Linked DNA regions of Ovis aries. The protein of the gene in region 6 interacts with the protein of the main gene of each other region in a biochemical or structural test. Links are inferred from orthologs where the notes say so. Each region holds a gene or a part of one and is shown on either strand. Other genes may lie near its edges. The genes, in order: CCND2, PRDM2, AHR, CCNA1, LIN9, RB1 and JUN.

Region 1 (3,161 bases), on a different chromosome or scaffold from region 6:
TTGTCACTCCCTCCCCATCCTGTCCCTCCTTGATTCCTAATTCCTTCTCAAGTTCATTGCTTCACAATCCAATCCTGCCATACGTGGCATCCGCAGTTCTTCCAAATTATCCAACAGGGGTATATACGTGCTAGTTCATAACATGAAAAAAAAGAGTCTCTAATTTGTTCCCATAGTGCAGGCGTACATTTTTCTCTAGCTACTCTGCAGGTTTTCCTGTAAGCATATTACTATGACTTTTAACATCATCAAACAGTAACTTGGCATATATAAGGGATTCCCTTCTGTTGTACTTCAAATAGGCACCAAATGCTTGTAATGATTTTGTTTTTATAGGACCTTTATCTCTCACTTCTAAAAGATCTTTCAATAGGATCTAGGTGGGGGCAGAATTTTTTTTTTTTTAAGTTTCATCCTAAAATGTAAGAGAACCAAATACAACCAGAGAGAAGGAGAGAGCGGATTGGACGCACCCCTCCCATTGGGCCCGCCCCACATCCTCACAGGTCGATATCCCGAACATCCGTAGGGGTGCTGGCTTGGTCCAGCTCATCCTCCGACTTGGATCCGTCGCCCTGGTCCTGACGGTACTGCTGCAGGCTGTTCAGCAGCACCACCTCAATCTGCTCCTGGCAGGCTTTGAGGCAATCCTAGAAGAGAGAAGCATCGAGACCAGGGCCGTTAGCAAGGGCACCGGGACACAGCAATCAACAGAGAGCACGCACGATTCCAGCCCGCCTGACTCCACACGCCAGCAGGTGGTGGTGGTGTAGTCACCAGGTCATTTCCGCCTCTCGCGACCCCCTGGACTCCAGCCCGCCAGGCCCCTCTGTCCATGGGATCTCCCAGGCAAGAATCCTGGAGTGGGCTGCCATGTCCTTCTCTGCTTCCAGTAGAAAGAAAGTCAACATGGAAGGAGGTGCGTCTTCCTGGTGGCCGGGGAACCACTCCAAGCGGGGTCCACAGGCCAGCAGCATCTGCAGCATCCGCACCACCTGGAAGCTAGCTAGAAATGCGATTCTCAGCCCTCTCCGAACCAGCTGCATCTCAGGATGTGCATTTCATCAGAAGCCCGGGCAGCGCTGGCCAAGGCGAGGGGCCATTTGCGGCCATGCAGCACCTGGTAACTCAAGGGCCAGCGGGATGCTTCCTGCTTGGGGCCACTGCATGGTGAGTGTGAAAAGGGGAAGGTGAGCCCTCCAGACAGTGTGACAGAACTAGACGACCTGAAGGGCAGATATAAGCGAAAGGACTAAACTACACTGAGCCTCCCAGCCACTGCAACCGTACTCAGAAACAAGCAGATTCGCCTCTCCACTTGTTTACCATTTCTTTAACTCTCATAAAAAACACAACACAGAGTGTTTACAACGTTCTGGACACTTAAGCCGTCTAATTTGGGAGAAAGCAAAAAGAAAAAACTGCAGCACTGCTTTGAGATCAGTCTATATTTGGTAGGGAAGATTCAGGGTGTGTCAGCCCCACGCAGAAGCTCCTCTAAACTGGGCGACATTGACGCAGCAGGAATTCATGGGCGTCGTCAGGGTGGGACGGTGGCTGGCACTAGCAACCGGGGCGAGAGCTGAAGTAACTGCTCACAGCAGATACTGGGTAGGCCAAAGGTTCGTTCAGCTTTTCCTGTAAAATGTTGTGGAAAAATCTGAATGGACTTTTTGGCCAACTCAGCATCTCCCGACCTCTCTACTCATCAAGACTGGTTTCCTGGCACTCTCGTAAACGTATGGAAACTATGTGAACTCCACTCTGCCTGGGTCTTTTCAGAGTTTCATGTATGTTCCCCTTGTGTTTGCTCCACCACGCAATTTTCACTGCCCAGAGGTTGCAGTCTGCCAAGCACACAAGCATTATCTCTATTTTCCAAAGATCTAAAATAAAGTTGGAACTCCCAGGAAAGTTTCCATGCCCCCACATTTTCCTTTTGTATCTCTCGGCCACCGTACACTGTTAAACCACAGCTTTTTAGGAAAATTAACATCTGGACCGAGCGCTGAGAGCAGATACGAAATACCACTCAGAATGAGTGAAGAGGGACAGAGGGAGGTGGTATCTGCTGTCCCCACGACCAGACCTGTGGGCACCACTGAGTTATTCTCCTTCTCTGTCCTTGGTTTCCCCATTTGTAATGTAAGACTCAGGAGACGCTCACAGAGGGAGGATCAGTTGAGATGTCCAAATGAAGCTCTAATCGTTCATCACAAAGTGGAAGTCTTGGAATCTGAACAAATTCCTGAGGTTTCTCTGAAATGAGGTACGAGTGAGCATTTGCTCAAGACAGGTGAGGGGCACAGAGGAACGCGCACCAGGGATGGAGCGTCCAGCAGGGATGCAGACTCTTTGCGAACCCACGGACTGCAGCACGCCAGGCTTCCCCGTCCTTCGCCATCTCCTGGAGTTTGCTCAAAGTCATGTCCATTGAGGTGGTGATGCCAACCAACCATCGCATCCTCTGTTGCCCCTTCCTCCTCCTGCCCTCAGTCTTTCCCAGCATCAGGGTCTTTTCCAATGAGTTCACTCTTTGCATCAGGTTAACAAGGCAAAAACTGACAACAGTCAACACTGCTCTGGCTGGTCCCCTACGAAGCTCTCCACCAACCCTGTCGACTTTCCTTCCTCCAAGACTCTGTTTCTGTGTCAACACAACTGCTACCCAACAATACGATGAACCCAGGATGCCATGACCATTTCTGCATTAGCCACACCAGCGGCTGAGATGGGTGGTCCTCTGAACATGGGGATGGGGCTCCAGAGAGCTAAGCAGCTTGATAGGGGGTCATGGACAGTCTCCCTGCAGGTCACCCAGGTGCCTGATCTTCCTGGTATTCAGGCTTCCCTCCCAGCAGCCTGAGACCCTAAAAGGAAAGTTCTGAGAAAGTCCTTCGGGGCGGGCTGGTACACCGGGCAGTCACTTCTACAGGACTTCAAGATAACACAGGCATCGAACATCACAAGTACATTAACTTGCAGCCCCAAACCTTCAAGCTTTCCTGAATAAAATGAAGAAAGATATCACACAAAACACAGACTCTCCTTCCTTCAGTCAATGTAAATCATTTTTGACAGTGACCAGCTCTTCCTCTTTGATACTTCTTGCTTCGAGAGAAAAGGAAGGACCGTAGCAGTTGCTGCAGAAATGAGGATGG
Region 2 (3,500 bases), on a different chromosome or scaffold from region 6:
GAAACACTGTTCACAGCACTGAGAAAAAGAGCAACATACCACAGACGGACAGACACCACAGAACTTCTTGACTGAAACTCCCCAGACATTTCCCAGGCAAATTTTATTTTTAGGCTTTTATATGTTTACATGTTAAACAGATGTGATTTCCACCTAAGACAATCTGACAGGAATGCTTTTCCTCACCACCAAAAAAACTTCTCTGGCTGGGAGTCATGCCATTGAGTTCCACAAGAACCTGAGGAGTTTCACGGAGGCTGCTGACCTGAATTAGATTTAATAGAAATGCTTAATTCATAGGCAACTCTTTAAGAAACAATAATAAGATATTTTATCTTCACAGCTTTCTTCATGAGATTATTTTTTATTCTCCCCATTTTTAAATGGAGGGTTTTAGGGCCCAAAGGTTAAGGGCCCTACCCAGGTCACAAAGGCAGGATTTGAACCCTGGCTCAGTCGGTCAAAGAATCCAGCTGTAATGCAGGAGACGGACTGCAACACAGCCAACCTAGGTTCGATCCAACCGAGTTCGACCCCTGAATGGGGAAGATACCCTGGAGAAGGAAACGGCAACCCATTCCAGTATTCTTGCCTGGGAAATTTCACAGACAGAGGAGCCTGGCAGATCCATGAGGTCGCAAGAGTCGGACACAATTTAGTGACTACACCAGCGCCACCAAACCAATGAAGCATTTCTAACTGCCTACTGTCAGGCAGCAGGACACATGGACACGTGGTTCTGCTCTGACAACACCCTCCACACGTGTGCCCACAAAGGGAGCCTCTCCCTCTGGTCTACACCGCTTCCCTGCATAAGGAGTGTGTGACCGCTCCCCATCTTCCAGGATCATTGAGAGAATGTGAAACAAACAGAATGAAAGCCTTTCTAAAAAGTCAAAGCACTACACAAACACGGCTTCTCAGGTGGCTCAGTAGTGAAGAATCGCCTGCCAGTGCCGGAGACACAGGTCCAATCCCTGGGTCAGGCAAACTCCCTGGAGAAGGAAATGTCAACCCATTCCAGTATTCTCACCTGGGAAATCCCATGGACAGAGAAGCCTGGTGGGCTACAGTCCATGAGGAAGCAAAAGAGCTGGACACTACTTAGGGACTAAACAACAACAACTATATACACAGTGTGCTAAGTATGTCCAACTCTGAATGTTTCAGCAACACAGAGATTACTTTCTAAATGACAGAAAAGATCCTAACTGTACTTTATTGATATTAGCGGCCACCTTGGTGTGTCTTTTACTGGCGTTCGTCTGCAAGCCTATAAGTGGCAGACCAAACTCTCAGCTGCAAAGCAAAGCAAAGCAACCTGAACAAGGCAAATAAGACGCCAATTTGACATTTATTGTTGAAGACAGCAAAGCACTTTCAAACTACAAATGTGAACAGCAATCTGTATCCAAGGAAACACATTTTCTATTAAAAATATTCTTTATTTTAAAGAACATGTTAAGTTGACTGATTAATTTCAGAAGGTCAAATCCTGAGAAGATAAATCCTTTAAAATAAATCCTTTCAAATCCTTTAAAAATGTACTGAACTCTGATAAGCAAAGGACAAGGAGCATTTCTTACCTCCCACATGTATACATTATTCTTAACCTGAGATCTTTTTTTCTTGTCACCGACAAATGGCCCAAACTTTTTGCCTTTTAAAATTGGTTTAGTGGCCCAGACACCTAGAAAATAAAACCAACAGTTTCACAATGCATTGTGGTTAAAGACTAAAGCACTAACAGCAATTCAGTTACTGAAAAGACTAGTCACCCTAAAAGCAAGACAATGTTAACTGAGATCACAGAAAATCAAACTAAATCAAGTATTCAAAGGGGATTTTTATTTTTCTTCTCAACAGTCTTCTGTATTCTTCTAATAGCCTGTAAAGAATCTATATTGTTTTATAAGTAGGAAAGATTATCTTATGGTTTTATTTTTAATCTTTACATGTAAAATTACCCAGAGAGCATAATCACAAACACTTGGAGAAGAGATAATCACAACAATTAAGAGAAAAAAAATATCGAATGCAGTAAAAATGCAAAGTTCCTCTTTCTCCTTTTCTACAGATTTCAAGTTGTCAAAAAAAGAAAAAAAAAAAAAGAAAGAAAAAACACCCTTAAATGGTTAGAAACATAGTGTCCTGTAGTAAATGTTTTTGAAGTTTCTTTGCTCTCTGCTCTGTTTCCTGAAAGCTTAAACAACTCAGTCTTCAGAGTTTAAACCAACCAAGACGTATGCTGCTTTGTGGTATTCTCAGGGGTATTTCTATAGTCTTCCCAGTGACCATAAGGCAAACAAGATGCAGAAGCAGCGGGTAAAACAGCAGGAGACACCCGTGTCGATGGACCCAGTGCCACAGCAGCTCTTACTGACAGCACTGCTCTGAACATGCTCCCTTGCCTTCTGGGCTCAGTTTCCTCATGTACAGATGAAGGCTGTGGTCTCAGCCACTGGCTCAGCCATGATGAACTAATTCCACCACCTGTAAATCTGCTATGAATCCCATTTGATATCCCAGCTAATAACTAATTAGTGGAGAGATAAAATCAACCACTTTCATGAACAAATTACTCACTGAATAATTCTCAGCAAGAATTAGGAAAAGCATTTATTAAAAATTTATTCACACACATATATATCAGAATATCAGAAGAACACCTTTAAAAAAAGAAAACAGGACATAAACATGATTTCTTCTAAGACTGTACTCTAACTTTTGTAACTTATTTCCTTAGCCTTCTATCTAAAGATTAGAACACAAAAACAAGACTCAATACAAAAAAGTTTGGCTATATTCAACAAGAAATTCTAGGAAGAAGCATTGGGACATGCTCATCATTCAAATACCCACTGAGGCCCATGAAGAGCATCAGTTACTGGAGGCATAAAGATAAATAAGAAATGAAGGCACTCACAATCAATGCAAGTGATGGATATGAAAACAAATACAAAATAATGAAATAAATATAATACCATCATCACACTCAAATTACAGTGAAATCAGAGGCAGAAGCAATATATTCTGCGGGAAGAAGAGCCCTGGGGAGACTCAAAGGAAGGGGCCGCTCAGGCTGAGTCACGAAGGAGGGTGGGTGTGTGCGAAGGTGTTCCTGTCCACCCTGGATTCTTAACTAGAAAACAAACTCTTCAAAACAAGCCAAGAGTATATATGTGTTGCTTTTGGAGTGAGCTCCCCACCTGAGAAGCCCCCAGAGGAAGCCTGGCCACAGCCCGCTCTCCCTGCCCTCTCCTCCCCTGACCCTAGCACTCACCAATCCGAGTTTTGTCAACAGCAGATGGGAAAAGCCTCACTTCCTCCGGAAGTCCTCGAAGCACATGTTCAGGTACCTCGGCCAGGGTCTCCGTGGTTGCCACAGGCTCAGCTGCGTTCTGCAAGTTAAGAAACAGAAGGATAATACCAAAAAGAAGAAAACCCAGTTCTGTTTTGACTTTTTTTTCTGGTCCAATAAACAAATATGCAAAAATGTA
Region 3 (4,006 bases), on a different chromosome or scaffold from region 6:
ACAAGATGAATTTTTCAGACAATATACCAACATATTAGAGTGTCTATTAGTTATAGTAATTTAACTTAAAAAACATTAAAATACTGGGTTTATGGCTCCATTCTTAAAATGGACTCTAACTGCATTTTAAGTTCATCATTTTTCATTCAGTTAAAAACAATTTATGAACAACTTCCCGTGATTCTGTAAATGTCAGCACTAGGCTTTTCTTATGGAGCAGTGACATTTTAAGGCGTTTGTAGGATTAGAAGCCATGCATGATGCTCAGTAAAGATCTGATAAACATCTCTGCTAACTAGATAAAATAAGGGTGAATGTGGAAATACTTTGGTTGTATTACAGGAGATATTAAACACAAATATATTAAAGTCTTAGAAAGCATATTTAATTGCTAATAATAAAAGGTACATCCTTAAAAAAAAGAAAATGTGCAATAATATATTTACAGGGAAAATCTTTAATAAAATGGTAACAAGAAGCCCCAAATGTTAAACTTTAAAATGAATACAAAAATTAGAGCATTTCATTGAAGTCACCTAGGTCCTGTGTAACATACTTCCTGAAATGCAATAACTTAAAATTCTCAGGTTTTCTAACTATACAAATAAAACCTATGATATACATATATATATTATACATTATGTCAAGTGTACTTTTGTATTAACTAAAATACACAGAGGTGTCTGTGATGCCTTTCAATTTTAAATAACCATCAAGGACCAAGTCAAATTAGACAAGCACATTTTTTATAAGAAACCATTCTATAAAACACAAGTATTGTAAACCAATGTCAACAGAATTGCCAAGATAAAAACTGCTGACTTGACAGTATTCCTAATGTCAACCACGCTGCAGGATAAGTCTTCCAAATTTTAATCAGTCTATTTATAGATGAATATCCTCTGTTGATGCCAAGTCTAAATCTGAAGGACTGCAATCACTGAAATTCTAAAAGGAAATTAAAACCCCAGAATACTGAAACCTTTAAACTGGTCTTTAATATTAATTTTAAACTGCTATTTTTCTGGTTTGGATTAGTGACCTAAATTTAGTCTTAAGCCACATGCACACTTGTGATTTGTTCTGAGTAACCGTTTAAAGTGTTCTTAAAATTGTTTATGAAAGTTTGAAAAATGTGAAGTAAAATAACTCAAGGATAATAATTAGGAATAAACACATGAACATTGCCAACTCGAAAAAGTAAATCTGTGTTAAGCATGGATTTTTCTTTTTTTTTTCTGAAAAAAATTAAAGTATTTGCCATAATCACATAAATATCCCACCAAAACAAACAAACCTAAGTTTGTACTTTATCAGAATTGACCAAACTTTGAAGTAGAGGGAAAAGGGAATTAAGAGAATGATGCTAAGAATGAAAATGTCTGTTTCAATAATTCCATCTCCAAATTATTTGCAGACCCTAAAACCACTTCCAAAGTGATAAATCTCCCCCAAAAGATGACTTAAAATACAAATCTTCTACTGTATCCTGGCTACTACACTCACTCAAAGCTGCTATCACCTCTATACATTTTATTGATATGTTCACGCTGAGCGCTACAAAATTACTGCCAAATAAGTAAATAAGAGTATAACAGAAAGCCAGTTTCAGGGAACCAAAAAATACCTTCAGAGGCACTCAGCCCCTTTCTTGCACACAGCACGTGTTTAGCTATTTAAAGCATCTCGCCCTACCAGGAGTAAGAATGGTGACCGTCCTCTAACCTAACAGAGGAGGATATTAAATGTGAAAGGGGATTTCAAGACGGGCTTAGGTTAACTAATCCACCAGCCCCACAGGGCAGAGGAGAGCTGTTAACAAATTAGGACCACAGCACAGTGAACAGCGCTGCAAATGGCTGGAGGTGTGAAAGGGTGCTCTGGAGAAGGGGTTCGGGGGGGGGGGCAGAGAACGGGGGGCACAATTTTTAAAATGCAATCATTAATCACGGAAAAATCCAAGGCCTGGGGTTCTCGACCGGCCTCCAGATCTCGATTCCACAGACTGCACAGGGAAGGGACCTAATCCCCTGGCCTCGGGGATTTGGGGGCGGGGTGCGGCAGTGTCCCGCGCCTGAGCGCCCACCTCCCCACAGCACAGAGGACAGGCTCCGGAGACTCACGTTTTCTGCACCGGCTTCCGCCGCTTACGACTGGCGTAGGTGATGTTAGCGCTGCTGCTGTTCATGGTGCCTGGCTGGCTGCGGCTCCTCCCGGGCGCGGACGGCCCTGTCCCCGGGACCCGGCGGCAACTGGGACGGGGTTCCACTTAACCGCGGCTGCTCCACCTGCGCCCTCCCGGGGCGATGGCGGAGACACAGCACCCCAGGAGCCGCAGGGCTTCTGCAGCCCCGCACGTCCAGGTGCGCGGCCCGGGCCTGGCGCCGAGGGGCGAGGGGCGGAGACCGGGGAGGCTGGAGGCGCAGGTGCCGTCTGTACCAGCTGAGGCGGCGCCGCGCTGCCCGCAGGTGAGGCGGCGCGAATGGAGGAGGAGCCTGGGCTGTCTGTTTGAAATCCCGGCCTGGGTCGCTCGCTGTGGCGGCGCGCCCCGTGACCGTCGCTGCGGCCCCTTGGGTGAGGGAGGCGCCGCCGCGCTGCGCTGCTCCCGGGATTTCCCCGATCCCGGGTGCTTCCCGCCTGCGGAGCTCGGACTCCGGCCGCTGCTACGGGTGCCACCAGCTTCCGCTCGGCTATGCGGCTACCTCTGGTCTGAGCCGGTGGTCCCAGTCACGCTTTCAGAACCTAGCGTCAAGTGGACTCGCCCTGCGATGCCTCCCGCTGCTGCTTGCACCGGCTGAATAGCAGAAGCGCCCCCGACCCCTCTCCAGCCCCGCCCCGCCCCTCGTAGCCCCGCCCCATCCTACTTGGCCCCGCCCTCCGCTATATTTCCCTTGAGGGCCCCACCCTCCCGGCACGTGATGACGTAAGGCGTAATGACCCCCACCCTCTCCAGTAGCCATCTTCTTGAGGTCAAGGGGAGGAATCTGTGGACACATTTCCAGTCCATAAAGACATGTGACGACAAATTATGTGTAGCCAAAGTCTTTGTAATCAGACAACCTCAAGGAAAGAAATGCCAAGTAGTGAGCTTAAATTCACCTTTGCAAGAGACAGTGAGTCAGCCAACTTTTGGCTAAGCATTACAGTGAGCTGGCAGATAACCTGTGGAACTATAAATCTTCCTAGAGGAGAAGGCTTCAGGAGGCCACATCTCAGTTGAACTTGAAGGCTAGGCATTTTTCTTGTCTTTTTGTTTTGAGTTTGATTTTTGTCTCCGTACAAGACAGTATAGTATCTTTTCCCCAGGCAGAATAACTGTTACACTACAGTCAGATTTCAGGAAGGTGGGAAGGCAGGCAGCAGGAGGCATTTGAGAATAAGCAGTCTGGTATAGCTGGAGAGAGAGAAGCTGGAAGTGAAATCCAGGAATCTAGGGTCAAATCATAAAGCCTGATCAAGAGTCCACATATTATTCTGCAGTCAGTGGAAACCTTTGAATGATCCACAGCAGGCAAGAGACATTCTAGTGTTTTGGAAGTTTTAAATGACAGTGCAAGCTGGATTACAGGAGAAAAAGACTGGATGCCGAGAGAGTAGTTAGAGTTGTTGAAGTAGTCCAGGTGAAAGTCCAGGGAAGTGACAGTGGGATGGAGGGGAAAAAGAGCAGATAATAAGGAAATAGACAAACAAGAGAGAGCAATCTCAAGTACCTCCAACATTTCTGACTACTCCTGTGCCTTTACCCAGAAAAGTAAACACAGGAGTGTGTTTTGCTTGTCAGGAGAAGGGCAATCAGACTAAGAAGTCTAGATGAAATCTGGCACCATGTCCATTCCTACATTTCAAAATGTCATCAAGCCATTTCCATCCGGTGAGTTTGTTACCTCACATTCAGAACATCAATAAATTGAACATTGTTTTCTTTAGCTGAAACCTCACTGTCATATACTCAACCATTATCCTATCAACCCTATGAAATATCTTCAACTCTTCTACAACTTACATC
Region 4 (4,164 bases), about 6.8 Mb from region 6:
GGTAATTTTCTCCCACTAACCAGATGCCACCAAGACACAAATGACTTGTGTCATTGTGTAGAAGAGGAGTAGGAGTAGTCAGTAGATGAGAAGCTTCTGATCTGGCCTCCATCATGACTTTTATTTGGGTGGGAAGGCTTTCTCAAACCTCTCAAATTTTCTCACCTGTACAATGGAAAGGATACCTGCCCACCTACTCCACTATACTACCGCCAATAGATATGCAGTACAAGCTTATGAGAAGCTGGTGTGATGACAGACTTGAGGAAGTTTTGTTGTTGTTGTTTTTTTAATCTCAAAATTCATTCTTAAGGATCCAAACTCCTTATTTGCATTTTAAGTGTTGAATTTATTTACCCTCTGTTTACATTCTGTTAAGGGAGGTGCCTATGATTAATTAAGCACAAGCAACCGGACATTAGATGGCCCATGATCTTCTGCCCAACTGTCCATTATCAGTCCTGGGGAGAAGCTGACTTTCAAAGCACACATTTGTAAGTAATCTAGTATGCTGGGATCCAATCCTGATTCTAATACCATCACCAATGAACTTAAAGGTTATCGGAGATGCTTCAGGGCACAGCCTAGGTCAATCTGAATACCATTCTGATCTAGAGAAACACCAGTACCACAAGTTAATTTTGGAGAAAGAAATCACAACCCACTCCAGTATTCTTGCCTGGGAAATTCCATGGGTAAAGAAGCTTGGCAGGCTACAGTCCATGGGGTCGCAAAGAGCTGGACACACCTTCGCAACTGAACAACAATAGTTTATTTTGGTGCATTCACAATGTCCTTTTAGCCCGGAACTTAAGTGCTTCCCTGGTGGCTGAGGGTGAAGCGTCTGCCTGCAATGCAGGAGACCCAGGTTCAATCCCTGGGTCGGGAAGATCCCCTGGAGAAGCAAATGGCAACCCACTCCAGTATTCTTGCCTGGAGAATCCCATGGGTGGAGAAGCCTGGTAGGCTACAGTCCACAGGGTCACAAAGAGTTGGAAACGACTGAGTGACTTCACTTTCACTTTCTTTTAAGTGACTTTACACATATTTGACTTAAACAGTTCCTAATAACAAAGAAAATTATTTAATATTGCTAGCTGAAAAAGGGACCTTACAAAGTGCTCTTTTAAAAAATCAGTGCCCCTATAGGCCAGATTCCAGGGCTGAATACTCAAGGGGAGTTTGTGCAGAAAATCTCAAGAGATCCCACTTCCCACCAAGACACGGGGGCCTTCCCAGCTCTTCCCAGGCATTACCTGGCCACAGGTCCTCCTGTACTGCCCATTCTCAGTTAGCACTCCTAGTACTGTTCTTTGTGGCGGATCCTGGCCGAACTGGCCTCTGGTTATCATCTGACAGGCATCAGGACCTCGGGACACTGGAGCCAGCACTACTCCACTCTTGGAGCTGCTGAGATGCATAGCCTCAGTCTCCACAGCTTACTGCTGTCAAGGAAGGAGAAACAGACAAGCCAGTTAGTCAGCCTCTTCCACGAAGGATAAGGATCCAAGGATGCTGAGACTCTCTAGAAGACACAGCCCTGTGACACATGATCTTCCTTGCTGTTATTAGGGTTGAAAGGGCCTGAGCCACAGTGCAAGTGATCAAAGCCGCTTTAAACCAAAACGATGATTTGAATCTCTCCAGCCTTTCTTCCAATACCTGGCTGATGGCTGGAAGAAGAGAAGAATATGACAAACCTCCAAGCCAAGACACTAACCCCCACATTAGTGGGGAGTTCAAACCTACAAGCCCGTGTCTTTCCTGGCTGTGATGCTTATCCATTACTCCACCACCCCCTTCCCTGCAAACCAGTGACCCAGGATACATCACTGTGGGAAAGTACGTCCCCTTCTCAAGTGACAAGCAGAGTGCTCTTCCGCGGCCTTCCTCCCACAAGACAGAAGGCCCCAAAATCTGCTTGGAACCCACAGCGGACCTCGCTCTTCTCAGTCTTATCTCTTTACACATAAGTCTCGAACAATTAGCAAATGCACACGAGGATTGGGAATAAGGGTCCAATGAAGGGGGCGGGGCCGGGGCGGGGCGGGGCGGAAGGGGACGGAGGTGTTAATAGATTCTAGCCGGGGCGCTGGGCTCCCAGCGTCTGCTGCCCAGCTCAGAGCTAATTACTTTCAACTCCCCCCGCCCCTCGCCGGCCCCCGCGTCTGTTGAATCGGCCAATCAGCGCAGCTCCCGGGCCTCGCGGGGGCCGTTTCCATGCCAACCGCAGGGGGGCGTGCGCGCTCTGCGGCCTCATCTCTATGGCTACCTCAGCACCCGAGGACGCACCGCGACCCTTGGGCGTTCAGGGCTGGGTGGGGCCAACCGGCGGCGGCCCTGAGCCCCTCCTAAGCGGCCCTGCCCGGGCGTGTCTGGGCGGGCGGCCGCGGTGGCCGCGGCCCACGCCCCCACTGTGGCCGATATCTGTAAGGGAAGAAGCAGGCCCGCCCCGCGATGGCCGGGGTTTGGAAGGGACTGTTTTTACTTGAACCGGTTCCCCAACAGCCGCTAACTCCTCCCGCTAACGTCTTTTCCGCGGCCCGCTCCTGAGAACCTTGGCCCGGGAGGGCGACGCGGGGCCCTCGGGGCTGCTGAGGCCGCGGCGCCTTGACCGCGCCGGGCAGACAGCGCGGCTCACTCCCCTTTCCCCCAGCTCACACACCTAAGCCTACTCCCAGAGAAAAGCCAAGTGGCAGCGAGCGGGCCTCTGGTTGGAGTCGCGGCCTCAGTCCGTGGTGGCGGCGTGTTCTCGGTCATTTTGGGTCCTTGCGCACCGGAGGCCACGCCTGGCCGACCTGGGTTCCGGTGCATGTAACCCGACAGGGCGGGAGAGGAGACCTGGGGTTTTAGGGTCGCACGTGGTGCTCTAGGTCCCCAGGAGAGAGACCTTCCTCGACGGTTCCGGCAGCCCCAGCGTGAAGCTGGCCCAGGAAGAGGAAGGAACGCGAGTGGCAGCGACGGGGTCTGGGACGTTGAGAGGGGATAGCGGGGAGGCTGGGAACCAGGGACTGGGCAGGTGGCCTGGTCACGTGGGAAGGAAATCCTTGGATCCGGGGTCCGCGGCAGGGTAGGGTGGAAGCAGGGGGCCTAATTTGGGGGTAAGAGGTGAGGGTAGGGAGAAGGGGCCTTGGCCACGCAGGAAGGGAAGGGGGGGGGGGTCCTTGGAAACTAGGGAGCCCTGGAACTTGCAGAGGTAACTAGAGAGCCAAGTATAAGAATCTTTACCTTTATTATTTTTTTGAAAATGTTGTTGTGCACACACACACACGTTACTGCTTTTGTCTGTTTTTAATTTTTAAATATTCCCATCTCTAAGTTCCCATCCATAAAACAGATAATGGAAACCATTCAAATGGTCGTTTTTTAAGAACTCGTTATTTCCTTCTTCCTTGTTTTGAATGAAAATAATTGCTAATCTTACACCTCTCCCAGTTTTTTCTTAAGTATTCTTTATTAATGGGCTCACTCAGCGATGTGTATGCATTACTTTAATGGGAAAATTGAAGTATTCTACAGGAAATGAGGATGAAAGCGATTGAATCAGGTGTTAAGAGGCAGTTAGGAGGCATCTTGCAAATCACTCCTGGATGCCCAAGGAAAATAGAAATGGATTTTAATGTGAAACTAACTTCTACACATTTATTACCCACTTTCATTCATTGGGAAGCAGCGATCCCTTTGCACCCTGGAATTCCTATGCCTTCGGATATGAAGGCAACACAGCAGCTCTGGTAACAACTCAAATTGTGGCAACATATGTAGGTAGGCCCCAAATGCTTGGTTTTGCAAGGTGCTGCTATCTGGTGAGGAAAAGAGCCTTTCTGCCCCCTTCTCATCTGGTGCTGCTTTTGGAAGTCTTCTGGGGAGGCTTCCATCATCTGACCACACTATTGTGACTTCTGGAGACTCTAAAGGCGTCAGGGGTGGACTCTGTTAGGGACTCAGGAGCAGGTCTTTCCAAGAGCCAGGGTTACTTTGGCAGGAGCTAGAGGCTCAAACGGTAGAGAATCTTCCTGTAATGCTGGAGACCCAGTTTGAGCCCTGGGTTGGGAAGATCCCCTGGAGAAGTGAATGGCTACCCACTCCAGTATTCTTGCCTGGAGAATTCCATGGACAGAGGAGCCTGGTGGACTATAGTCCCTGGAGTCGAAAAGAGTTGGA
Region 5 (3,835 bases), on a different chromosome or scaffold from region 6:
CATTATTTAAATTAATGCACAGCCAATCCTAAATGTCTACTTTGAATTACATAGATTTCTTCTTCCTTAAAAATAAAATTCAAATATATTCTTAGGCACAGTTCTTGTCATCAACACATGATGGCACTGAAAGATACAGATGATGCTTAATTACATAAGCACAAAACTAGGTATAATTTAAGTGTGACAAGTCAGCCTTAAATGCAGAAGAAAAAATATAAAAAATGCTTACCTGAGTCTAGGCAGAATATATTAAAAATCAACCTTTCTCTAGGTCTATAGTAAGCCAAGTTACTTACATGCTCACAGTGTTTTCCACAGTGATTACTTAGCCATGGGGAAAAAAAAAATCCTAATGGTATTTTAATTCAAAATGATTTAGTAATAAATTTGTACTGTCCCTCCTAAAAATATAGTTTAGTGGAAAAGATAATTTTAAAAACATTTTAAATAGAAGAAATATTTATCAACTTATATTAATTAAATGAAAATGAAGATCATTAATTTTCATAAATCAATTTATTTAGAATTACAAATATTAAGAATAAAAGATTTATACATTTCTTAATTAAACGTAACAGTTTAGCTAAATATAAACTCTGCACTAAAGTTCTGCAGTGGCACAATACCAACAAAGAATATGGAAGCATTTTTAAACTATACAAAAATTTCAAATGGAAAATAATCTTCAGTTTTATTATACATTAACATATAAAAAGTCTCATTTTATGAGACATCTAAAAGAATCAAAGCCACTTCTACAGCTATATCTTAAACTCCAAATCTGAAAACAATTTATATTTTGACTTTATAATATTCTATATTAAAACAGAGAAAATTCCAAATACACACTTTTTACAAGATTAACATCTTAGGCAGGGGTTTCCTTAAAAAACCGAAAACCAAAAAAGCCCACAACCAAATACAAACCTTTTTTCTCCATTTTCTAGCACTGGCTGTTATATTTGTTTTCCTTATAAAATTTTTTTACTTTAAAAATTGTGTAACTGTTGGATTTTAACCAGTAATCTGGTTCAAAAATTGTGCAAATAAACAAAAAAATATGAAAATAGTGTGTTATCAGTCTTTTGAAAATAAATCCCATAACAATAGCACTTTTTGCCCTGAATTGATGGGAAAAGACATGCCAAATCCATTTGCTGAAATTTAGCATCTTGCAGTAATGTTTCTTTCCTGCTCCTTCATTTTCTTTCAACAGACAAACAACAAAGGTTTCTTTTATAAATTATGATAAATTAAAATATTTATTATTATAAAATGATCTATAGAACCATGTCACATTGCAAGTATATATCATATATACTTGTAAAGTCCGTATTTCCCACCTATATTCCAGTGGCTTCCTAAAAGTGAGGACTTCCCACATCTCATGATGTCATCTTTTGAAGACTGAAGTGGTGACCGACTAAATGAACTGGAGGTGTGATTTTCTAGATGGAGTTTCCACACTGCCATGCACAATGCGCAAAAGACCATGTTTCCTCATGTTCTCCACTGCAGTAGTTGTCTGCCTGGGTTGAGCTGAATTCATGCACATTAAAAAAATGGTCAACATATTCTTCCATGAAATTAGGTTATGTTCAGACATTTTCAGTTTAAAAATACTTGCTAATAAACATATATAACATAAGCAGTGCTACTGCAGCTGAGTAATAAAAGAAAAATAAATATAATGCTGGTCAGCAATGCTGGTTCAAGAAGCAGTAGAGTATATTAAAATGCCTTATTTGGAGATTTAAATTTTCCTTGTTTTCCAGCAGATAGGTTATTTGGTGTTGGAAGCCTATATAAAGGAAGAGAACTTCACAAAAACAATGTCCTATGCAGTTGGGATACTTAAATCTTCTATTCAGTCTCTGTTGGTGTTATTTGCTGCAAAGGCATGTAAGTTTCCCATCTGGCTCAGGCCGCTCTGAATATGTGCAACATGAATTTCTACATTATTCTGAAAGCAACTAAAGAAAGAAGAAACATGGTTAACTACTTTATCTCACAAAATTAAGAAAAACAGTTTTTCTAAAAAGAAAAGGCTGAATTTCAGTTAGGAAATAGCTAAGATAACAACCCCACATAAGTAATACATCTTCCCTTTACATTAGCCATAATTCTACTCCAGTAGTAACTGAGAAGCTATGCTTGAGAGAAGCGAAGAAGCCACGGGAGTGCTGGAAAGAGAGGATAGGCAAATCTCTCTTTGGGGAAGACTTACTTCAAAGTTAAACCTCTATGCCAAACCCAAACCTAAATATTATATGTCTTTTGATTCCTTTATATAAAAAAATCCATCTGAAAATTCTGTCAATAGACTGCATATAAAATGAAAGCTCATTTACAATTTACTTAAAGGATAAAAATCATGACTAGTTCATAAATATGTATAATTCTTACAGTACTTATACTGGAAATCACTATGAATTTCATATAAAAATAGAGTACATCTAATGAATTACCTGATATTAGAAGCATCTATTGTACTCTTGATATCATTTAGTGAATCTGTAAGTGATTTAAATTCAAAGGAATTCAAGTCTCCTCCTTCTGCTAGACACTAAAGAAAAAAAAATTTTTTTTCAAAATTTAATTGTACTTCGAATACAGACAAAAACTCTGCTCTAATATATAGTTTAATTTTTTAGCACCAAATTAGCAGTTTGTTTAGGTGTCAAAATGAAGAAAGTATTCTTAATATTTTCTCCAAAAGGTCCTCTGAAATTTACCTTAATTTGTAATAAAATAGCTGTAAGCCTGGAGATTAAGTCTGTCAGATTTTCATTTTCAACACAGGGCTGTCCTGTTGAGGAATTTGCATGCCGAACTATTTCCTGTGCTTCTTCCTCACACCTTCGTCTCATGTCTGTTGGCTGATCTGCAGGCTGGAGCCCTTGGTCTGGAGCAAGCTGAATACAGACGATTAAAACATAAGATATACATTCATAAGGCCATGATGATTTCTGTGTGTTTGTGCCCTGTTTTCAGATTAGGATTTTTATAAAAGTAGCATTTGTATAACAAAAACAATCTCACTCTTACTTTAGAAATTTTTTTTCCCTCTAACAGTATTTATTTTTTGATTTGTTTTATATTTTGGGTACCTTTTAATTTTTAGGTACTTCTAAAAAAAGAACAGAACAAAAATTTCTTGATAACCTTTTACCCAGATTCACTAATTGCTTATGTTTTACTGTGTTTGAGTTAACATTTGACCTTTCTTTGTATATAGATTTTTTTTCTCTTAACTATTTGAGAATAAGTTGCAAACACTGTGCCTCTTTACTCCTAAATACTTAATAACCACACAGCAATGATCTGATCACAATCAGGAAGTTTAGCACAGACATAATACCATTTTCTAACAGTCTATATTCAGATTTCATCAACTGTCCCAATACCTAGCTACTTTTCCCCCTGAATACATCTGGTTGTCCTGTCTCTCTAGATTCCTTTACTCTGGAACAGTTCCTCAGTCTTTCATAACCTTGATAGCTTTGAAGAATATCAGCCAAATATTTTGCATAATATCCCTCAATGTGGGTTTGTCTGTTTCCTCTTGATTAAACTAAGGTAACAGGCCTTTGGCGGGAACACCACAAAAGTGATGTTGCTGTTCTCAGTTCATTGTGACTAGGAGGCGTATGATGTTTATCTGTCCCACTGCTATTTATGTTATCTTTGATCACTCGGTTAAGGAAGCTATGTGCCTACATTAGCACAGAGAGCTTCCTTGATCATTCTTATAGCAGCACCCCGCTCCACTATGGGATGCGCCATAAGTTATTCAGCCAATTCCCTATGTATGGGCATTTAGGTTACTTCT
Region 6 (3,500 bases):
TAAAATACGCTTACTCCTTGGAAGAAAAGTTATGACAAACCTAGACAGCATATTAAAAAGCAGAGACATTACTTTGCCAACAAAGGTCTGTCTAGTCAAAGCTATGGTTTTTCCAGTAGTCATGTATGTATGTGAGAGTTGGACTATAAAGAAAGCTGAGCGCCAAAGAATTGATGCTTTTGAACTGTGATGTTGGAGAAGACTCTTGAGAGTCCCTTGGACTGCAAGGAGATCCAACTAGTCCATCCTAAAGGAAATCAGTCCTGAATATTCACTGGAAGGACGGATGCTGAAGCTGAAACTGCAATACTTTGGCCACCTGATGTAAAGACATGGAAAAGACCCTGATGCTGGGAAAGACTGAACATGGGAGGAGAAGGGGATGACAGAGGATGAGATGGTTGGATGGCATCACTGACTTGATGGACATGAGTTTGAGCAAGCTTCGGGAGTTGGTGATGGACAGGGAAGCCTGGCATGCTGCAGTCCATGGGGTCACACAAGAGTCAGACACGACTGAGTGACTGAACTGAACTAACATCTAACTTGGAAATGATTTAGTATTCTTTATCAAAATTCTGATTTCTAGTAATGGAAAACTGTTATTTGAAATCCAGTTCTAAAACTTGCAAATTAGGAAAGTTCAGTAATAGCAGAATAAAAGATTATTCTTTACGTAAGGGTGATGATATTTATATATGCTAAGTTTCTAACATCGTCCCTATATCCAGCACTCAGAGAGTTCCTCATTATAGTTCTGCTATCCTAAAATATTTTCTAGCCACAGCCATCCGTAATGAAGATGTGGTTTCACTTCTCAGTCTTCCTGCTGCACAGTAGATGCTGGGATGGATGAAGATGACCTGCACTTTGCATCATACATTTAATCCACAGATACTTGTAAATAACATATTGTTGAGTGAATTATATTTTAAATGCATAAAAGTCTGTTAATTAAAGGGATTCTATAAATTTATCCTTTTATAATGAAAAGGCTTTCTGCAATGTAAACAATTGTTCATTTACTTACTTACTCAAATAAGTACTTACTCATTTCTGCCAGTTTCTGTTGAAATTTGGATTCCCCTGGGAGATGTTTACTGCAGATTTAAAAATTCAAAATATTTCATATGTATATGTATAAATGAAAAACTGAAATTTCCAAAAACGATGGCATTTTCAATGACTATTTATGCTCTTTAGTAAATAGCTTTTATTGTCAAAGGATTATAAATCAAACATCTAAAATACAAATGTCATAAATTTATGAGCCTAGATATTTTATCAGTGGTTCTTATAAAACAGGGTAGCGTTTTTCAAGAGTGAGCATTTTAAAATCTAATGTTAATCAAAACTAACAAAATTCTATCCATGGCACTGTAAAGGCTGATTAGATTTGTAAACATCTGATATTTTTAATGAATTTCAGTAGATTTACGTGGTGCTTTTTTAACTGTGGGATGCAGTCACATCTTCTATTTTGAGCAAGCCTCACAGTTTCCAAAATATTACTGGCACGAGAGAGACTGGCAGGAGCCAAGACCAGAGCGGCCACTCTGGGTTTCTCCCGACGACCAGCTCAGCTCCTGACACACGTGCTAACACCGTCCCTACCTTCCATCTGCTTCGTCGGATCCTTCGATGTCAAAGCGCAGTTTTTTCAGTGGTTTAGGAGGGTTGCTTCCTTCAGCACTTCTTTTGAGCACACGGTCGCTGTTACACACCATTTGATTTATTTTCTGGAACTTCTCTGAAGTCTACAAATTATGGAATTCTTTATTTTAGATCATTTTGTAGTTAGCAACCCCGAACTGTAGGTTTGTGGTGGGTCAAAAATCAGGCAGAGGTAATACCTGCGTTTAACTTCCTGCTTCTTTGGACCAAACAGGAGATATGAAAAATGTTAAAATCAGACTAACTACACCCAACTTCCCTGGTGGCTCAGATGGTAAAGTGTCTGCCTACAATGCAGGAGACCTCGGTTCAATCCCTGGGTCGGGAAGATCTCCTGGAGAAGGAAATGGCAACCCACTTCAGTATTCCTACCTGGAAAATCCCATGGACTGAGGAGCCTGGTGGGCTACAGTCCAAGGGGTCACAAAGAGTCAGACACGACTGAGTGACTTCACTTCACTTCACATCTAACTCTGCCCCAGTAAATACCTGCTCTTCTCATACCCTCCTGTGTCTTCCCAACAACTCTGACTACTACTCCAAAAGTCCTGGTTCCTCATTTTCAGAATTTACTCAAGCACAAAACCAGGGCTATTTCTCAGAAGCATGCAAAGCTGGAAGAGCTTTCTGGAACCTTGTTTTGTTTTTTTTTTTTTAAAGCACAGCATAACTGGAGCAAATGTTACAAGAATTCAATACGAGGTGTCTAGCGAAGAATAACTTTGGACTCACTTTATGAATATCATGCTGATAAGTCATACAGCTTATCAATTTGAAATCATCATTGATTTATAGTATTTGTTGATATTCCTAACTCTTAAAGGTTTAAAATAAAATATTAAATATCTGAAAAACTCAAAGTATTTGAGTCCTTCCAAGTACTATTAGAGATAATTTGATTTATATATCTCCTGAGGAAGAATCCTTTCACAGTTAAGAAAACTTTGGTTAAAAATGCTAAAGAGGGCACAATACCTCATTTTATCCAAAGGACAAACACATGGAAAAACTGTGTCTTATCTATTTTAGAACCAGAGTGAGGTGATTATCTCCATGATGTGTATTAACATGTTTTTTTGGATTCTAGAATGAAATCAGACTTTCCAATAGAAGTTAAATCTGATTTGACTGATTTGACACTGAGGATTAGCTTTGCATAATTAACTTTCATTAGCTAATTTACCAAAAATTAAATGAACTAAGTTTCCAAAAATTAAATGCAAAACCAGATTTTGATGGAAAATATATTTAGAGCACATGTATAATATGATAGAAATGAAATTCTGTACACCTATTAAATGGATTTCCAGTTATGAGCTTTAAAATATGGAAGTATGTATAACCTTCTTTCAACTCTTTCAGAGTTTATCACAAGCAAAACAGTTTGAAGACCACTACTCTATATCTGACTTCCCTGGTGACTCAGATGGTAAAGCATCTGCCTACAATGCGGGAGACCCGGGTTCGAGTCCTGGGTCACGAAGATCCCCTGGAGAAGGAAATGGCAACCCGCTCCAGTACTCTTGCCTGGAAAATCCCATGGACGGAGGAGTGTGGTAGGCTACAGTCCACGGGGTCGCAAAGAGCCGGACACAACTGAGCAACTTGACTTTCTTTCTTTCACTCTATACTTAATCTGGATCCAATCCTATTTATGTGGTCTACATCACCTCTGTGAAGCCTGACAGCTGTAGCCTGTGTTGAGCTAAATGTCATCACATTTACTATTTGTAACACACATGTTAACATTTGGTCTTTTAGTATACAACACGTATCTTTCTCTAGTTATTTCATTGGAGGGGCAGTGCGTAGGCAGACACTAAAAT
Region 7 (4,282 bases), on a different chromosome or scaffold from region 6:
CTGCTAGTAAGAAGCACCCACAGTGATTTTAATTGACACTCAACTCTTTCAACTCCACCTAGACAAGTAATCTATAGATAATGCAGAAAAGAGGTTGGGGGAGGGGTAACTTTTTCAATATTTTATTGTATTTTCTTAAATATCCTTTCTGGAATTTTCAGAAACAAAACATAAAAAAAATTATATACTTTATTACAAATGGTAAACTCAGAGTGCTCCAAATCTCTTATTTACAAACAAGGCTGGGCAGGACACCCAAACAAACAAACATGAATAACTTACAAAGGCATGAAGCTGTTTATTGACAGTAATCAGCTTTCATCAAATTAAAAAATATATATATGTACATACACAGTTATGGAAGGCAGGCCAGAAAGAGCTCATCTGCAGGCTGGGCCTCGCTCTCACAAACCTCCCTCCCGCCTCCCCTCCCCCACCCCCTTTGTGTTCTTAAGGAGTACTACAGAAGCGATCTACAGTCTCTATTGCAGTTTGCAACCCCCTCCCCCACCCCACCCCTTTAATACTGAATGAGATCGAATGTTAGGTCCATGCAGTTCTTGGTCAACGTTAAAGAAAAGTCTAACGTTCTGTTTGCGCGGGGACAGCCCGTCCGCAAACCCGGGCAGCCCGCGAGCGGCCGTTCCCTGGCTCCTCGCCAAGGGAGGGCGCGCCAAGTCCTTCCCACTCGTGCACACTGGGGGCGCCGTCAGGACGCAACCCAGTCCAACTTGGATACCCTTGGCTTTAGTCCTCGGACACTTTTGTTTTTTTCTCTGTTTCTCTCTCGCAACTTGTCAAGTTCTCAAATCTGTCTCTCTGTGTTATTTATATTTTTTCTCCGTTGCCCCTCAGCCCCCGACAGTCTCGCCTCAAAACGTTTGCAACTGCTGCGTTAGCATGAGTTGGCACCCGCTGTTAACGTGGTTCATGACTTTTTGTTTAAGCTGGGCCACCTGTTCCCTGAGCATATTGGCGGTGGACGCCAGCTCCGAGTTCTGCGCTTTCAAGGTTTTCACTTTTTCCTCCAGCCGCGCGATCCTCTCCAGCTTCCTTTTCCGGCACTTGGAAGCAGCGATGCGGTTCCTCATGCGCTTCCTCTCCGCCTTGATCCGCTCCTGGGACTCCATGTCGATGGGGGACAGGGGCGGCGTTTCCCCGGGCATCTCGGGCACCGTCTGCGGCTCTTCCTTCAGGGCCTGCAGCCGCGGGTGCTGCACGGGTATCTGCTGGGGCAGGTGGTGCGGCGGCTGCGGTGGTTGCTGCTGCTGCTGCTGGGGCTGCGCGGGAAAGGCCAGGCCAGCCGCGCCGTAGGAGGGCGCCCCGCCGCCGCTGCTCAGCGCGCCGGGGTTGAAGTTGCTGAGGTTGGCGTAGACCGGCGGCTCGCTGTGCAGGCTGGCGCTGAAGCCGCCGCTGCCGCTGCCGCCCGCCACCGAGGCCACCGCCGGGGCCACCAGGCCCGCCCCGCTGACCGGCTGCGCCGCCGACGTGACGCTGGGCAGCGTGTTCTGGCTGTGCAGTTCGGCCAGGGCGCGCACGAAGCCCTCGGCGAATCCCTCCTGCTCGTCCGTCACGTTCTTGGGGCACAGGAACTGGGTGGGGGTCGGCGTGGTGGTGATATGCCCGTTGCTGGACTGTATGATCAGGCGCTCCAGCTCGGGCGACGCCAGCTTGAGCAGCCCAACGTCGGGCGAGGTGAGGAGGTCGGAGTTCTTGGCCCGGAGGTGCGGCTTCAGGCTGCCCACCGGGTCGGCCAGATTCAGGGTCATGCTCTGCTTCAGAATCTTGGGGTTACTGTAGCCGTAGGCGCCGCTCTCAGACTGGAGGAACGAGGCGTTGAGGGCATCGTCGTAGAAGGTCGTTTCCATCTTTGCAGTCATAGAACAGTCCGTCACTTCGCGTGGGCTTAGTTTAAGCTGCGCGCAGAAGTTTCGGGGCCGCAACAGCGCGCTGGCAAGCGGGGGACACCCGCGCCTCCCCGGGCAGTGAGCAAGGAAAGTTTCTGGAAGAGCGCGCGCCCCCGCCGGCTGGCAGCCCCCGCCCCCGGCGCCCTCCTCACCAGCTCGGTCCGGGGGATCGCAGGGTTAAGACGCCGCCCGCGCTCTTACTTGTCCGCTCGCGCGCGCCGCCCGGCTTTGAAAAGTCGCGGTCACTCACGGAGCTCTCTCGAGCGCAGCGGTTCCTCAGAGCCCGCGGACGAACTCGCTTCCCGGTGATAGCAGGGAGCGCGGACCCCGCGTTTGCCTGCCGGCGGCGGGTGTCCGCCGCCCCGACTCGGAAGACTGTCCCCTCCTCCGCTGAGAGGGGGAGGGGGCGCCCGGCAGCCGCGGCTCGCGCTCGCCCAAGTTCAGCAACCGGTGCGAGCGAAGCGGAGCGCACGTCCTCCTCTCTCCGCCGCCTCTTTTTCTTCACCGCCGCCGCGGCAGCTTCGGGCGGAGGCAAGATTTGCAAAAGTTCGTTCCGGGACCCGGCGGCCACTTGTCTCCTGTCTTCCTGGCCGGGAAAGTTCTTGCCGCTGCAGCCGCTCTCCGGACTTCCCCGGGCGGACAGTGGCCGCTCTCCGCGCTGTCAGCAGCGCCCGCGCAGCGGGGCTCTCCGCCTGGGGGCGGCTGGCGAAGGGGCTCTCCCGGCGCTCCCCAAAACACCAGGCCGGGAGCCACAAGCGCTAGCTCCGGGCAGTTGGAGAGAAATTGGAAAATAGGATTTGCTGTCCTTCTCGACTGACTGTGCCTGTCTGCCTGCCTGCGTCCGCGCACCTCCACTCCCGCCTCGCAGCTTCAGCCACACTCAGTGCAACTCTGAGCCCTTATCCAGCCGGAGCGCAACACTTATCTGCTACCAGTCAACCCCTAAAAATAGCCCATGATGTCACCCCAAGGCCTTCCCATTGGCTCGCGTCGCTCTCAGGGGGGCGGGCCCACCCGTCGCCATGGAGACCCCACCCTAGAAGATTCTTCTCTGGGCCCGCGGAGGCTCACGGGATGAGGTAATGCTCCGTTGCCCTCCTACAGTTGGGCCCTTCTTTCTCCTCCTCCCCCCAACCCGCTCCGCGCGACTCGCGCCCCTCTCTTCCCCCTCCCTCCCCGACGCGTCTTTCCCGGCCCGCCCGGTGCATTGTGGGCTGACGTCTTGGGGTTTGACTGTCTAGTGACGGTGGCTGCCGCGAGCCGGGCGGACTCCGGCGCTCCCAGCCTCTGAGGGAAGTGGGCTGAAGTTTAGGGCTCGGATGGGAATGCCAGGGATGCTAGGACCCAGGAGGCCAGGGGAACCGAGCCAGGTGTCTGGGGCCGAGGGCGCGGGGCGGGTGGTATTTCCCCACTTGGGGGTTCGATGTCACCCGCGGGCACTTCGCCGCCGCTCGGGGCGGGCCGGGCCCGTTGAGCGCCTGGGTTCCTGGCCCCCCCGCACTTCCGGGGGGCGGGAGCACCGCCCTTAAGGTGGCTCTGTTAAGTCCCCTGTGGGGGCGAGTGAAAGTGGCTTTTAAATTTGGGGGCAGTTCGTGAGAGTCGGCCCCCCACGTTGAGAATGCCCTGAAGTTTGTCTCCTGGTCAAGTTCAGTAGCGACTGTCTGGCTCTGTCTGGAAGTCCAGTGATTTGCATTGCTTGAAACTGGGTGTTCGGCTAAGTCCCCTCCGCACTCCCACCTCACCCTCCCGACCGTGGGAGAAAGGGTGCGGGGGTTCGCATCTTTGCCTCGGAAAGGTTTCTTACAGGAGGTGGATTTAAGGGGCAACTCGGCGTCTAGTTTGAACGAGCGTTTGGAGAATCCGAAACTCGGGGAACCCCGGTGATAGTCTACTCTCCGCCCCCGCACAACATGCATAGACACACCGCACATCACATGTACACACAAACACACACACACGCACACGCCACTCCTCCCGCCCCGATTTGCTTCCGGGAAAACAAGTCCGAGAGCAGCAGACACTTGCCAAAAGTCACGCAGCGAGTGAGTAGAATAAAGATTTAAAATTTCTCCGCTCCCGGCTGGGGGGTGGGCCCATATCCTGTGTAGCCTCTAGGAAGCGCTAGACCCATGTAAGTGGTTCCTTTTCAGTGGTGGTTATTCTTCTCCTCCCCCAACCCCGCGCCCCTTAGGGACGAAAGTGTACGGTGGAAAGAATACCGAAGTCTGGAGTCGTGGGTTCTCTCCTGGCCAACGCTGCCGCAATGTGAAGGGAGCGAATCAGAGAACTTCCCTGAGTTTCTTCATCTGCAAGTGGGGCTGGTGAGACCCACCTCATAGGCCTGGCTTAGTGTAGAGTCATTGTCTCCAGGGCTA

Evidence for each region.
Region 1: of the proteins of RB1 (region 6) and CCND2, one has a biochemical effect on the other in vitro, tested with the Homo sapiens proteins (4 studies listed by BioGRID). The link is inferred for Ovis aries from reciprocal best matches to the Homo sapiens genes RB1 and CCND2.
Region 2: the proteins of RB1 (region 6) and PRDM2 form a complex in vitro, tested with the Homo sapiens proteins (2 studies listed by BioGRID, with this or other methods). The link is inferred for Ovis aries from reciprocal best matches to the Homo sapiens genes RB1 and PRDM2.
Region 3: the proteins of RB1 (region 6) and AHR form a complex in vitro, tested with the Homo sapiens proteins (2 studies listed by BioGRID). The link is inferred for Ovis aries from reciprocal best matches to the Homo sapiens genes RB1 and AHR.
Region 4: the proteins of RB1 (region 6) and CCNA1 form a complex in vitro, tested with the Homo sapiens proteins (2 studies listed by BioGRID, with this or other methods). The link is inferred for Ovis aries from reciprocal best matches to the Homo sapiens genes RB1 and CCNA1.
Region 5: the proteins of RB1 (region 6) and LIN9 form a complex in vitro, tested with the Homo sapiens proteins (2 studies listed by BioGRID). The link is inferred for Ovis aries from reciprocal best matches to the Homo sapiens genes RB1 and LIN9.
Region 7: the proteins of RB1 (region 6) and JUN form a complex in vitro, tested with the Homo sapiens proteins (2 studies listed by BioGRID). The link is inferred for Ovis aries from reciprocal best matches to the Homo sapiens genes RB1 and JUN.

The regions. Positions count from the first base shown.
Region 1 is NC_056056.1:211,597,775-211,600,935, forward strand, and holds the end of CCND2 (G1/S-specific cyclin-D2), read right to left. Parts: exon of another isoform or gene 1,431-3,161; intron 651-1,430; coding exon 501-650; downstream 1-500. UniProt on the Homo sapiens protein: Regulatory component of the cyclin D2-CDK4 (DC) complex that phosphorylates and inhibits members of the retinoblastoma (RB) protein family including RB1 and regulates the cell-cycle during G(1)/S transition.
Region 2 is NC_056065.1:53,165,168-53,168,667, forward strand, and holds part of PRDM2 (PR domain zinc finger protein 2), read right to left. Parts: intron 3,402-3,500; coding exon 3,284-3,401; intron 1,691-3,283; coding exon 1,587-1,690; intron 1-1,586. UniProt on the Homo sapiens protein: S-adenosyl-L-methionine-dependent histone methyltransferase that specifically methylates 'Lys-9' of histone H3. May function as a DNA-binding transcription factor.
Region 3 is NC_056057.1:26,779,504-26,783,509, reverse strand, and holds the start of AHR (aryl hydrocarbon receptor), read right to left. Parts: upstream 2,801-4,006; 5' UTR 2,189-2,800; coding exon 2,124-2,188; intron 1-2,123. UniProt on the Homo sapiens protein: Ligand-activated transcription factor that enables cells to adapt to changing conditions by sensing compounds from the environment, diet, microbiome and cellular metabolism, and which plays important roles in development, immunity and cancer.
Region 4 is NC_056063.1:25,417,567-25,421,730, forward strand, and holds the start of CCNA1 (cyclin-A1), read right to left. Parts: upstream 2,801-4,164; 5' UTR 2,666-2,800; intron 2,138-2,665; exon of another isoform or gene 1,446-2,137; 5' UTR 1,422-1,445; coding exon 1,257-1,421; intron 1-1,256. UniProt on the Homo sapiens protein: May be involved in the control of the cell cycle at the G1/S (start) and G2/M (mitosis) transitions. May primarily function in the control of the germline meiotic cell cycle and additionally in the control of mitotic cell cycle in some somatic cells.
Region 5 is NC_056065.1:28,526,715-28,530,549, forward strand, and holds the end of LIN9 (protein lin-9 homolog), read right to left. Parts: intron 2,919-3,835; coding exon 2,739-2,918; intron 2,570-2,738; coding exon 2,472-2,569; intron 1,977-2,471; coding exon 1,871-1,976; 3' UTR 501-1,870; downstream 1-500. UniProt on the Homo sapiens protein: Acts as a tumor suppressor. Inhibits DNA synthesis. Its ability to inhibit oncogenic transformation is mediated through its association with RB1. Plays a role in the expression of genes required for the G1/S transition.
Region 6 is NC_056063.1:18,570,850-18,574,349, reverse strand, and holds part of RB1 (retinoblastoma-associated protein), read right to left. Parts: intron 1,758-3,500; coding exon 1,615-1,757; intron 1,101-1,614; coding exon 1,051-1,100; intron 1-1,050. UniProt on the Homo sapiens protein: Tumor suppressor that is a key regulator of the G1/S transition of the cell cycle. The hypophosphorylated form binds transcription regulators of the E2F family, preventing transcription of E2F-responsive genes.
Region 7 is NC_056054.1:33,493,864-33,498,145, forward strand, and holds JUN (transcription factor Jun), read right to left. Parts: upstream 2,801-4,282; 5' UTR 1,881-2,800; coding exon 873-1,880; 3' UTR 107-872; downstream 1-106. UniProt on the Homo sapiens protein: Transcription factor that recognizes and binds to the AP-1 consensus motif 5'-TGA[GC]TCA-3'.